Linked DNA regions of Notamacropus eugenii. The protein of the gene in region 2 interacts with the protein of the main gene of each other region in a pairwise test. Links are inferred from orthologs where the notes say so. Each region holds a gene or a part of one and is shown on either strand. Other genes may lie near its edges. The genes, in order: ATXN2, SH3GL2 and EGFL6.

Region 1 (3,748 bases), on a different chromosome or scaffold from region 2:
ACAGAACTGAGATCCAGTGGCAGCAGCCTCCTGGCTGCTCCTTTCAGGACACCCCCCTCTACTCCCCAATCTACAGACTATGAGCATTTTCCCTGGCTATCCCCCATGCCTGGAATGCTCTTCCTCACATCCACCTCCTGGCTTCCCATCCTCAGCTGAAAGTCTCAACTTCTGCAAAAAGTCTTTTGCAGACCTCCTTAATCACCACGTCTTCCCTCTGGAGATCATCTCCAATTTACCCTGCATACATCTTGTTTGTACACAGCTACTTGCTTGTAGTCTCCATCTGACTGAGAACCGTAAGAGCAGGGGCTGGCTTTCACCTTCTTCATATCCCCAGAGCGTGGCTCACAGCAGGTGCTGAGCAATACTAACTGATTCCCCTGAAGGTGGGAGACTCAGACTGCAGAATGCTGAATATCCCGTAACAAGTAGTTACTGTGTCCTTTGGTTCTTAGCAACATAGAAAGGGGGTGATGAGGGGGAGGCAAAGATTAAATGTGGGAAACGACTGATGGAAACACAAAAGGCATCAAAATTTTAATTAAAAAAAAATATGGAACCGGATAATAGGCAAAAGCACTTAATTCTGAACGTATCAGTAAGTACTCAAATAATCATTCTGATTGTATTTTTCTGTTTTGAAATTACCCCCTAAGGGATTCTGCAAACTACTCAAAATTCACACTAAAGAGAGGCCACCTTTTATGTGCACAACTGTAGTCAGCAGAACAGGAGTCTCAGACAACAATAAAAGGGACATTTAAGAGTCTACTGTGTGCATAGCATATTGTGCTGTGAAGAAACAAACTACAGTAGAAATTAAAGCCGTTTTAATTAAAAACAAAAAAACCTTTTTTCTGAAAATGAGGTTCTCATTTTCACAGAAAACACTATAATGTACTAATGTTGCACTTTGTCTTTTTACTTACTATGCATAAAGGTCAAACTTTGGTGATCTTTTTCACTACGGTGCAGTCTTACCCACTTTTATCTCCAACTCAGATGAAATAGGGGTAGCCAAACAGCCCTAGGAAATTTGATTTTATTTCTAGCCTCACAAAAGGACTCAGATAATACTGAAAGTGAAGGTGATTCTAAAAGTATTAATAAGAGGTCGGCAGCAAGGATATAAATTCACATGATACAAACCCCGGGACAACATGTTCCAAAAGAAATCTTATGCAGTTCTTGAAAGGATGGGGACCGAAGGACTCTTAAGCAAGGAGAAATCAAAAACTAGCTTACAGCAATGAGGGGCCAAACGAAGGCTCTTACGACAAAGGCCCTAGTGGGGGAAACAGCATTAAACTCTGCTAAGAGAAAACCTCCCGACCGTAGGAAGGAATCCGTGGCACTCCGCTGGTCCCCCCCTCCCCTTCACCCCACCCCTGTGGCCCTCCCACTTCACCCAGGCCGTCAGACCGGCGACCTAACAGAACCCTGGAGCTGGACGCCAGCTTTGAGGTCATCTGGTCCAAGCCCCCACAGGCCACGTCCTGACGCGGGCACGGGGGCTCTCCCCACTCTCCCACCCGGTCTGTTTATAAATATTCCGCCAGACCGACCCCCCTAATGCAGCAGACTGATTTTTAATCGGCTACCTAGGAAGGGATATAAGGAAATGTCTGCTATTTGGATAGTATTTGGAAACTTTTAAATACCTGCGCCCGACTTTCCCGAAGTTTAAAAAGCGTTCACAATCACCCTCGGAATAGCTACGGCCTCATTCATTTGGACTGGCTTTCTTGTTTCAATAACGGGGTAAACCTCCCTTTAAACGGAGCTCCCCAAACATCGAAGGGCTCAAGGTTTGTCCTTTTTTCCCCCGGAAGGGTTAAAGAGATAACTGGGTAGGGCCAAGGAAAAGAGAGCCCACTGCAGTCCCTCGGCCACCCAGGGGCCCGTCTGGCTTTCCGAGCTGAGCCAGGGCCGGGCCGACCCACCCCGGGGCCCTCTCCCTTCGCGGCCAGGCCAACACGTCTCCCAAAGGTTCGGTCGGGACAGTAGGCCCGGGATGACCAGGCGCCACCCAGGGGCCCCGGTGCCCTTGGGAGGCTCGGGCCGCGGGGCCACGACGGCAAGGAGCTGCGGCCCGTGCGGCCGCGGGGCGTTTTCGAGGTGACCGGTCCCCCTCCCCCACTGCGGGGCAGGACGGCCGGGTCCCGGCCGCCCCCTCCTCCTGCGGCTCCCGCTACCCCGCGGGCCCGGCCCATCCCCCCCGCCCGCCCAGGGATGCCCCCCTCCCCAGCCCGCCGGGGGTCCCCCGCACCCACCTGCCCAGGTTCTGCCGCCCTCCACCGGCGCCGCCACCGGCCGCCGACGATGAGGAGGCCGAGGTCGAGGAGGCCGAGGACGTGAGGCCGCCGGGCTTGCGGGCGCCCCCGGGCGCCGCCGCCAGGGCTCCGGGCGCGGGGGGCTGGGCCTGAGCCGGGGGCTGGGCCTGGGCCTGGGCCGGGGGCAGCGCCGGGGCCGGCGGCGGCTGCGGTTGCTGCGGAGGCTGAGGCTGCGGAGGCTGCGGCGGCTGCTGGGGGGGCTGCGGCTTCAGGGACATGCTGCTGACCTGCCCATACACCGAGGGCCGAGCCGGGCCCGGGCGCCTGACGAGAAGCGAGGCCGGGGCCGCGGAGCAGGAGGAGGCCGAGGCCGAGGTCGAGACCGAGGAGGAGGAGCCGGCGGCCGCGAGCCCGAGCCCGAGGGAAGGGAGGGGGCGGGGTGGGGAGGGTCGGGGGCGGGGAAGGCCGCCCGACCGACCGACGACACCGAGTTGCCGGGAGCCGCCGCCGCCGTTGCTACCAAAACAGTCTAAGGCGGGCGGAGGGAGGAGGGAGGAGGGAAGGACCGGCCGGGAGGGGGGAGGGGGACGGGGGCCCGGAGGGGACCTGCCGCGAACGGAACGCGGGGGACGCCTGGGAACAAGCGGCGGCGGAAGGATACCTCCTCCGACCGCGCGCGCTTGCTCGCTCCCTTGTCTGCCGACCCTCAAAAGGAGACACCCCTCTCCTGAACCCAAAGGCCGGTCACACTATAGGAGGAAAGAGCGGAGGAGGGGATGTTCCCCGAAAGCAGGTGTGGGGAGTGGTCCAGGGAGGTCGGACGGAGGGGATTCTTTTCCGGAAGTCGGAGGGGCCGGACAGGAAGGGGAGCGTGAGACGGCACTGCGGCCGGAGCTGAAGCAAGAGCTGGAGGGCCGCACGTGGGGCTCCCGCGGACCGGCCGGCAGTCTCAGAAGGGGCGGTGCCAGAGGGGGCGGGGCCGTAACAGGCCCCGCCTCTCGGACGCGAGCCCGAGCTCAGGGAAGGGGCCGGACTCTCGCCGCCCGACCCCGAGCCCGGGCTGGGGGTTACAGGCCACCCGTCTGAGGAGGGAGAATCCTGACGGGAGGGAGAAGCGGGGGACCCCAAGGGGAAACCCAGGTGAAGACCTGGAGGCCAAGCCTATATTCCGTATTCCAGTTAAGGAGAAAGGCAGCCCCTGGCCAAGGTCACCCCGAGAGATAGCGAGTCCTTGAGTCCTTGTACCCCTGGCTGCCCTCCAGTGTAATAACTAGGAGCATCCCCGTGGGGCTGCGCCCCTCTCCGCAGGGGGCCGCGGGGGCCAGGCCTCCTGAGTCAGCGCCTGCTGGTCCGAAGAAGGTCCGTCATCAAGTTTAGGAAGTGCCTACCCTGTGCCAGGCCCTTTCTAAGAGCTGGGGTCCAAAGAACGTCTGAACATTTATTAATCGAACCCTAGTGCTAAGGGTACAAAA
Region 2 (3,748 bases):
TGAGAAGTATATATGTTCTCTCACTGGAAAGGATACCGTATTTAAAGTATCACCAGTTAAGTTAACGTTCATAGACAATCTAAAAACTGTAGGATTGAGCACAGTGGCAAACACCCATAATCCCTGCTGCCAAGGAGCCCCAGAGTGGTGGATCACTTGAGTTTGGGAGCTCTGAGCTGCAGTAAGGCTAAAGTCGATCACGTATCTGCATTAAGTCCAACACCAACAGGCTGAACACCCCTGCAAGGGTGAAGCACCAGGCAGCCTAAGAAGAAGTGAAACTTCCCAGGTTGGAAATAGTACAAGTCAAAGTTCCTGTGCCAATTAGTAGTGGGATAGATCCCATGAGCAGCCACAGCACTTTCCAATTAAGGTGAGGCAGGGAGACACCTAACTTGAAAAAATTTAAAAACAACCAACCAACCCACCTGTATAATTCAAAGCACCCTCTACCCTCTTTTCATAGTAGCAAAAGGAGGAGAGGCAGGGCTCACAGTTCAAAAGGTTCTTTTGTATTTTTCCCTGTTATGAATGTTCAAGGTCAAAGAATTCACCATTAATTGGCTACCCTGAGTAGTAATGAGTACTGAACTAGATAGCCTTTAGATAGCAACATATATTGTGCTGCTGTAACTGTACCTGAAGCCTTTCTAGCATAGGAGAACCTCCAGGTTTGTGCTTTGCTAACAGCCTTTGAGAACCAGTTACCTGCTCACCACGATGAGGCATCAGAATATGCCTCAGTGAAGGCTCAGTGCGTAAGTATAAACATAATGATTCTGTAACACTTTCAAAAAATGAGATGCTGCCTCTACTTATTTGGAGATGATGTATGATGTACTAAAACATGACAAGGCTTGGAATCCAGAGGCCCTACTTCTCCCCTCACTTGCCCTCTGTGTCCCCATCTCAGATTCTCTGCGTTGGAACCTAAGCAACCACAAGTCTTTCAGATCTGCTCTTAGTCAGAGAAGACAATGAGACTCTTCAGAACCTTGAATTTCTAGTAAATAATTGAGACATCCTGCACTTTTTGTCCCATCTTGCTAATTTGTCTAAGAAGTGCACTTCCTAGCACAGAATCTCAGAATGGGGGGGGGGCGGGGGGGAGGCTAATTAATCTAAACCGTAAAGGAACAGGAACCACTCCACAGAGGTCGTGTCACAGGGAAACAAGAAAGCCAGAACAGACTGTGGGACAAGATCTCTAAGAAACACAAGGGGGCTCTGAAAACATAAACACTGGAAATTCAAAAGTGAGAATTTGCAAACCAAGCAGTTTAAATGTTTGGAGAGCCAAGGATGCTAAAATGTAACCATTCTTTATTAAAGCCTGCCATCTAGAGGCTACCTTGAGAATTACTCTTTGGAAGCTTTACTCTTCAAAGATTCTTCTTCCCTCAAATAAGCAGTTAAAATAAGTAAATAACAACGTGGGGGGGGGGGGGAACCAAACTTGCTCAGATAACTCATATTAGGCTCAACAGTTATGAACAGAAATACTTTAAACTTTATTGCTGCAGGCTTATAGGAAATCCTCAAATGAAGAGAACCTGTGACCCACAAAACCCATCAGAAGCTTCCTAGTGGATGGAGGTTTGATAATGCTACCAAATATAATCAATAAAGAGCAGAAAATATATTTTCTTTATGAACACCACATTTTAAAAATATTTTAAACGTGGATTAAACTCCAAATGGTGGGCCAACATAGCAAAAGTGTAACTGGCATTTCTATAACGCTTTAAAGTTTCTAACATACTTTCAGTTATGCAGCTATCTTTGTGCCTATTTTACAGATGAATCAATCAATTAGAATTTATCAAAAAGGAACGACAGTATGCGTCAGGGCCTGTAGTAGATGCTGAGGAAACAAATACACTAAGTGAAAATATTCCTGTTCACAAGGAATTTCCATTCAGGTAGGGAAGCTTACGTGAGGTGAGGCTCAAAGAGGTTGAGTGATTTGCCCATGATTGTTTCTGGGAGGTTATTGTTTAAATCAAAATCCGTCTGAAGCAGACAGACAGTGCTTCAGACAGACAGACAAACACACTTGACTATGAACTTACAGAAGCTGACCTTGTCCCCGTTCCCAGGCCAATGAATTGCCTGGAGATGACCAGAAATCTCTCCCAGACTGCGTATTTTGTAAATCTCCATCCAAGCTGCAGGCAGGCAGTTCCCTCTGCCTTAGTATCCCGTATTAACCATGTTCCCAGCCCCCTTCACCAGTACTCCAACACGTATTTTGTGACCCCCAAGCTGCAACTCATTTGCTCCAATTAAAGACCTCCATTTTACAACACTGGCTTTTTTCTCTCAAATTCAGATAGATATGACAAATACTGACTGTGTGGCTTTTGGTGAGTTATTTAACCTCCCTGTGAAGTCTAGACAAATCTCTAAACTATAAATGACAATGAAGACAATGCTGGTAGAGGGAGTGGTATCTCATAGATAGCTCCCCACATCAACAAAATCAAAGGTTTAGGCCCTATCCCTTGAGCCTCAAGTCCCCATTCTATCCACAGTGCCACTTACCTGACAACTTTGCCCAGCTAGAAAATGCTCAAAAAAAGAGGAAAATGGGATGTTGCCCTTGACCCAGCTCCTTGGTTTCAGCTTCTCTGTCTGGGTGCTTTGCTAACAGCCTTTAACAACCAGAGGAAGACTGTGGCTAAGAAGTTCTTGCCCTAGATTGAGGACCATCCAGCTGACCATCCAGCAAACAAGCCATAATCACTAACTAGCAAGACGAAGTCAGATCCTGGAGCTACCAGTCAGAGAGGTCACCTGGAATGAAAATGAGTTCTGAGATGAGGATCCCAACCCAATGGGAAGTAAGGCTGGAGAATGGACTGCAGCAGCATGAAGGTAAGTTCCAGTGCCCTCTCAAGCACACCATGCTCAAACTTCTGTGATTGATTGGGTGTTTTCATAGCTGGCCAGCCTGACCAGCCCCTCCCCAAATTCTTCTGAAGTCCAGTCAGCCCAAAGGTCCCACTGCTGCCACCCACTTTGTTCTTCTTGGCAACAGCTGGCTGTAATTGGTGACACACTGAGGGAAACTTTAAAAGAAAAGTCTCTTCATTGACAAAATAGATGTCCCAACATCCAAGCATTTAACTCATAGGAGAGCCCCCTCAGATCTCACTCATTATCTACTCTCATTTCACAGACATAAAAAAAGGGCAGGCATTTCCATCAACTAATTAAGAGGTGAGTGGTGATGAGGGCATTCCCTGTTCTCACCAGCTGTAGATATTTGGATATGCATCCGTTTGTCAGCTTGAGGGTCAGAACTATCTTAACTTTGTATTGGGACAAGCACATGCTCTAGGTAGAGCCACCCTCCCAACCGCCATTCACACTAGCTGTCTGAGTAGCCCAAGGGGAGCTGCTGTTTCTCCCTTCAAGGTTCTAGGAGAAACTGAGGGGGCTAGGAGTGTCTTTGTAGTGCTATAGCTCACAAGCCCCAACCAGTGTACTTTCCCACTGATTATCAGCTAACATCCATTAGTCAGTCAGACTTAATTAACCTTAGAAAGGGGAAATAAGGTAATTTAGTTAGAACAGATAGTACAAACATCTTCCTAAATTGAAATGTACTCTCTCAAGGGCACATACAAAGTTGTATCAGCAAATGCCCTGGCACACTCAGGATGGCCTTCTAGCATAGGTTTTTATATCTGCTTTTCTGAAAGGAAAACAACTTTTGAGGGGTCAACAATCTTCTTTAATCACA
Region 3 (3,748 bases), on a different chromosome or scaffold from region 2:
GGTTCCTCGAATACTTATTGCATTTATCTATACCATTTGGTTTTTTAAATTGTATTTGTTTATTTTTAATTTAGCTTCATTTCCTAAGGTATACCTTTTCCCCCTCCCTGGGCAGCTAGGTGGTGCAGTGCATAGAGTGGTGGGTCTGAAGTCAGGAAAACTCATCTGCTTGAGTTCAAATCTGGCCTTGGACACTTACTAGCTGGGTGACCTTGGGCAAGTCACTTAACCCTGTTTGCCTCAGTTTCCTCATCTGTAAAATGAGCTGGAGAAGGAAATGGCAAACCACACCAGCCAAGATACCTCAAAAGGTGTAATGAAAAGTCAGTCTGACAGGATTGAAATGAATGAACAATAAGCCACTCCCCATCTCTATCAGAAGCAGTTAGGTGGCACAGTGTGTAGAATGCTGTGCTTGGGGTCAGGAAATCCCAGGATGGAATTCTGTTTCACATACTTACTAGTGGTGTGACTTTGGGTAAATCATTTGACCTCTCTCAGCCTCAGTTTCCTCATGATAAAAACGAGCATTATAATATCACCTATCCCTTACAGAGTTGTGAGGATCAAATGACACAATGTATGTAGAGTGTTTTCAAAACATAAAAGTGCTATATAGCTATTATTACCCAATGCCCTGTCCCTTATTGTAAGCTTTTTTTTGGAGGGGGGGGGAGGCAGTTCCACAAAATTAACCAGCACATCCACAGAGAATGACATTATATGTGATGTTACATATGCATAGTTCCCCACCTTTACAAAGAACAGGTTCATTCCCTCATCTCTTCTGTATAAAGCTAGCCTACCATTTATTTTTACTCTTAATCCATCGTGTTATCTGCTTGTTTCTGCTTGTAAATTCCAAGAGATCCAATGGAAATCCTTTGAAAGGAAGGATAGTTTTGTGTAGACTGAAAGATGGTGGTAATGCGATCCAATCGTTTTCTCAGTGCATGGCCTCTTTCCCCAACTAAAATATAAATGCTACAGGACAGTTGATTTTGTGCTATATGTACATATACGAGAGGCTTAGTGTGCGCGCTTAGCACACTATTGGGAACAAGGTGTGCCCTTGTGTTGGTTAAAATGAACTAAACTGAATTGAATTGAATCGAATTGAATTGGACAAGGCTGGTAAGCAGCAAAGAAGGAAAGCACCTTCTAGAGAGAGATGATCGATTATCTGCGAGAGGCGGATCCCAGCCCCAAAGTCTGTAGCCCGCCCTCCTCTCTCACTCACCCCCTCCCCTTTTTCCTATTCCTCAGAAGCGTGGAGAGGACTGGAGGCTGCGGAGTGTGGGGTTCTCTCCCTGTTTTCTGCTGTCCTTACTCCACCTCGGCTGGTGGTCCCGACAGCGCCCCAGCCCCCGGGCTCCGACTCCCCCTTCCCTGCCTGGGGAGGGGCTCCAGCTGCTGGACCTCCAGGGCCGTCCGTCTAGCCAGCTCTGTCGTGCGGCGCCGGTTCGGGAGGAGCAGAGACGTTCTGGTGCCTCTGTCCCTGCGGCCACAGTGCAGAGCATCGCGATCTGGACGTGGAGAAGAAAAAAGAAGGGACTGCGTGGGCTTCCCTGACCACCCTTCCCCGCCTCCTGGCCCGGTGCCCCAGCCCCGTCCTCCACCGCGTCTCCAAGATGCGGGCATCCTGGTGCCTGGGACTGTCCTTCCTGCTCCCCTTGGTTGCAGGTGGTTTTGTTAACACGGCAGCCAGGTGAGTGTGTGTCTACCCAGAAATGGGCTTCGGCGTCCTGAGTTTGCTTTCTTTATTCGGTTCTTTTGTTCCCTTCTAGCTCCCTACCATTTTTTTTTCTTTCTTGCGTCTTTGGAAGTAACCAGTCTGGGAGGGTCCTCGAGTGAATGTCCATTGTCATTTCTTCCTGGGGTCATGTGGTGTTTCTTTCTCTCCTCAGACTCATTCCAATCATTCTCCAGTTCCCTCATTTTCAAAAGGATGCTCTTCACACGAGGAATGTGACGGTTCTGGCGGTATTCAGGGAGACCTGTCTACTGTCTGTAATTCAGAGGACTAGCGTGTGTTTAATTTGTGCTGTTTCATCCTTTATTCAACTGAGCAAAGGCATTGATCAGTTGTTAGTATCTGGTTTGGCGGGGGAGGGACAGGAGAAACTGAGACACCACGCTGATGACCTTTAAGGATTTTTGAGGAAGCAAGCAGACAACTTGTTACCTATATCTTTGATGCTCCTTTGATATCCCTGACCAAACACACTCACACACACACACACACACACACACACACACACACACACACACTTCTGTTCAGCATAATTGCCAGAATTAATATAAAGCCACTGCCCTGGGAACTCAAAATTGGGTAGGTTGACTTAATGACCACAGGTGTTTCCAACCCTAGAAACTTAGGGGAGACCATAAATCTAGAAGCCATCTAGTTCACAGATAAAAGATACTCAGATCTGGCAAGGTTTGAACCCAAGCCCTCTGAATCTGGAATCAATTTTCGTCCTCCTCTCTGCCACATTAGTTCCCAATGCACTATGAAGAGGACTGGACTTGAAATCAAAACTATAGCTTGCAGAATTTGACATAGATTCTCCTTAAGGTACCCTGGAGGTTGCATACTTGGCACATAAGCTTTGAGGGGTTTTTTTTCCATTCAATTCCACTGTAGTAACACAGAGATTCTTAAGTCCTGGTAGAAATTCATGAATTCATGAGTAGAAAGAACATTGGACTCAATGATGGGAAAGTAGAAAGGGAAGAACTTGGATCCAGATACCAGCTACACAATACTTATTAGCCTTGTGACCTTACAGCAGTCACTTAGCCATTTAAGACCTTTAAAAAAAAAAAAGAGTTGGACTAGATGACCTCAAAGGTCCTCTTCCATACATTTGTATGATCCATTTATTCATTTAATAATAATTAGATGCTCTTTTAAGAACTGTGGAAACCAGCATTTATAAGTACCTACTGTGTTTTACACATATTATTTAATTTGATCTCACAACAACCCTAAGAGATAGACATTTTTTATCCCTATTTTACAGTTGAAGAAACTAAGGCAACCAAATGTTAAATGACTTGCCCAGAGCCACACAGCTAGTAAATGTCTAAAGCAGGATTTGAACTCAGGTCTTCTGGACTGTAGACTCAGCACCCTAGGCCCCGTACCACTTAGCTATCTTTTAAATAAAAGGCAAACTATGTTGTTAGAATATTGACTACAGCTTTCTATGACAAAAATATTGACAGACATAGTTTTCATTTAATCTTCAAAAAGAAAAATTTTGTACATGTGTCACTCCAAGGTATGATGGATGATAAATGCTATCTTTGAAGTGAATTAATAGAGTTCCAGGGTTTCACTTTCAAAGTGCTGCTAAATTAAGTTAAAAGCCATAAAACCTCCAAATCAACTAGAGAATATTAAAATGGAGAATCCATGTCAAATTCTACAAGATACAGTTTTCAAGGATGTAAAGTGGATTTATTTGCTTAGTATCAAGTTCACAAGCTGGTATGTTCAGTATCAGCAAGTGGAAGTATCCCTGTTCCAACATGCTTAGAGCTGTCAAGCAATGGTCACCAGCTTTTCAGGAACTGCACAAGGGACCAGATTTTATAAACTCCAGACCTAAAGTGATGGAAAACACATTGACATAGAAGGCAAAGCTGTCTTTGCAGAGAGTTGCTACAAGTTGATTATTTCTTGAGGTTTCACACATTGTATCGCAAACTTCTTCTGCTACATGAAGATGATATTGAGTGT

The links.
Region 1: the proteins of SH3GL2 (region 2) and ATXN2 interact in binary tests that used the Homo sapiens proteins (3 or more experiments, as listed by UniProt). The link is inferred for Notamacropus eugenii from reciprocal best matches to the Homo sapiens genes SH3GL2 and ATXN2.
Region 3: the proteins of SH3GL2 (region 2) and EGFL6 interact in a two-hybrid assay, tested with the Homo sapiens proteins (2 studies listed by BioGRID and IntAct). The link is inferred for Notamacropus eugenii from reciprocal best matches to the Homo sapiens genes SH3GL2 and EGFL6.

Annotation. Positions count from the first base shown.
Region 1 is NC_092875.1:34,612,655-34,616,402, reverse strand, and holds the start of ATXN2 (ataxin-2), read right to left. Parts: upstream 2,907-3,748; 5' UTR 2,555-2,906; coding exon 2,277-2,554; intron 1-2,276. UniProt on the Homo sapiens protein: Involved in EGFR trafficking, acting as negative regulator of endocytic EGFR internalization at the plasma membrane.
Region 2 is NC_092872.1:25,533,606-25,537,353, forward strand, and holds the start of SH3GL2 (endophilin-A1), read right to left. Parts: upstream 2,227-3,748; 5' UTR 2,164-2,226; coding exon 2,073-2,163; intron 759-2,072; exon of another isoform or gene 408-758; intron 1-407. UniProt on the Homo sapiens protein: Implicated in synaptic vesicle endocytosis. May recruit other proteins to membranes with high curvature. Required for BDNF-dependent dendrite outgrowth.
Region 3 is NC_092876.1:377,419,309-377,423,056, reverse strand, and holds the start of EGFL6 (epidermal growth factor-like protein 6), read left to right. Parts: upstream 1-1,269; 5' UTR 1,270-1,631; coding exon 1,632-1,708; intron 1,709-3,748.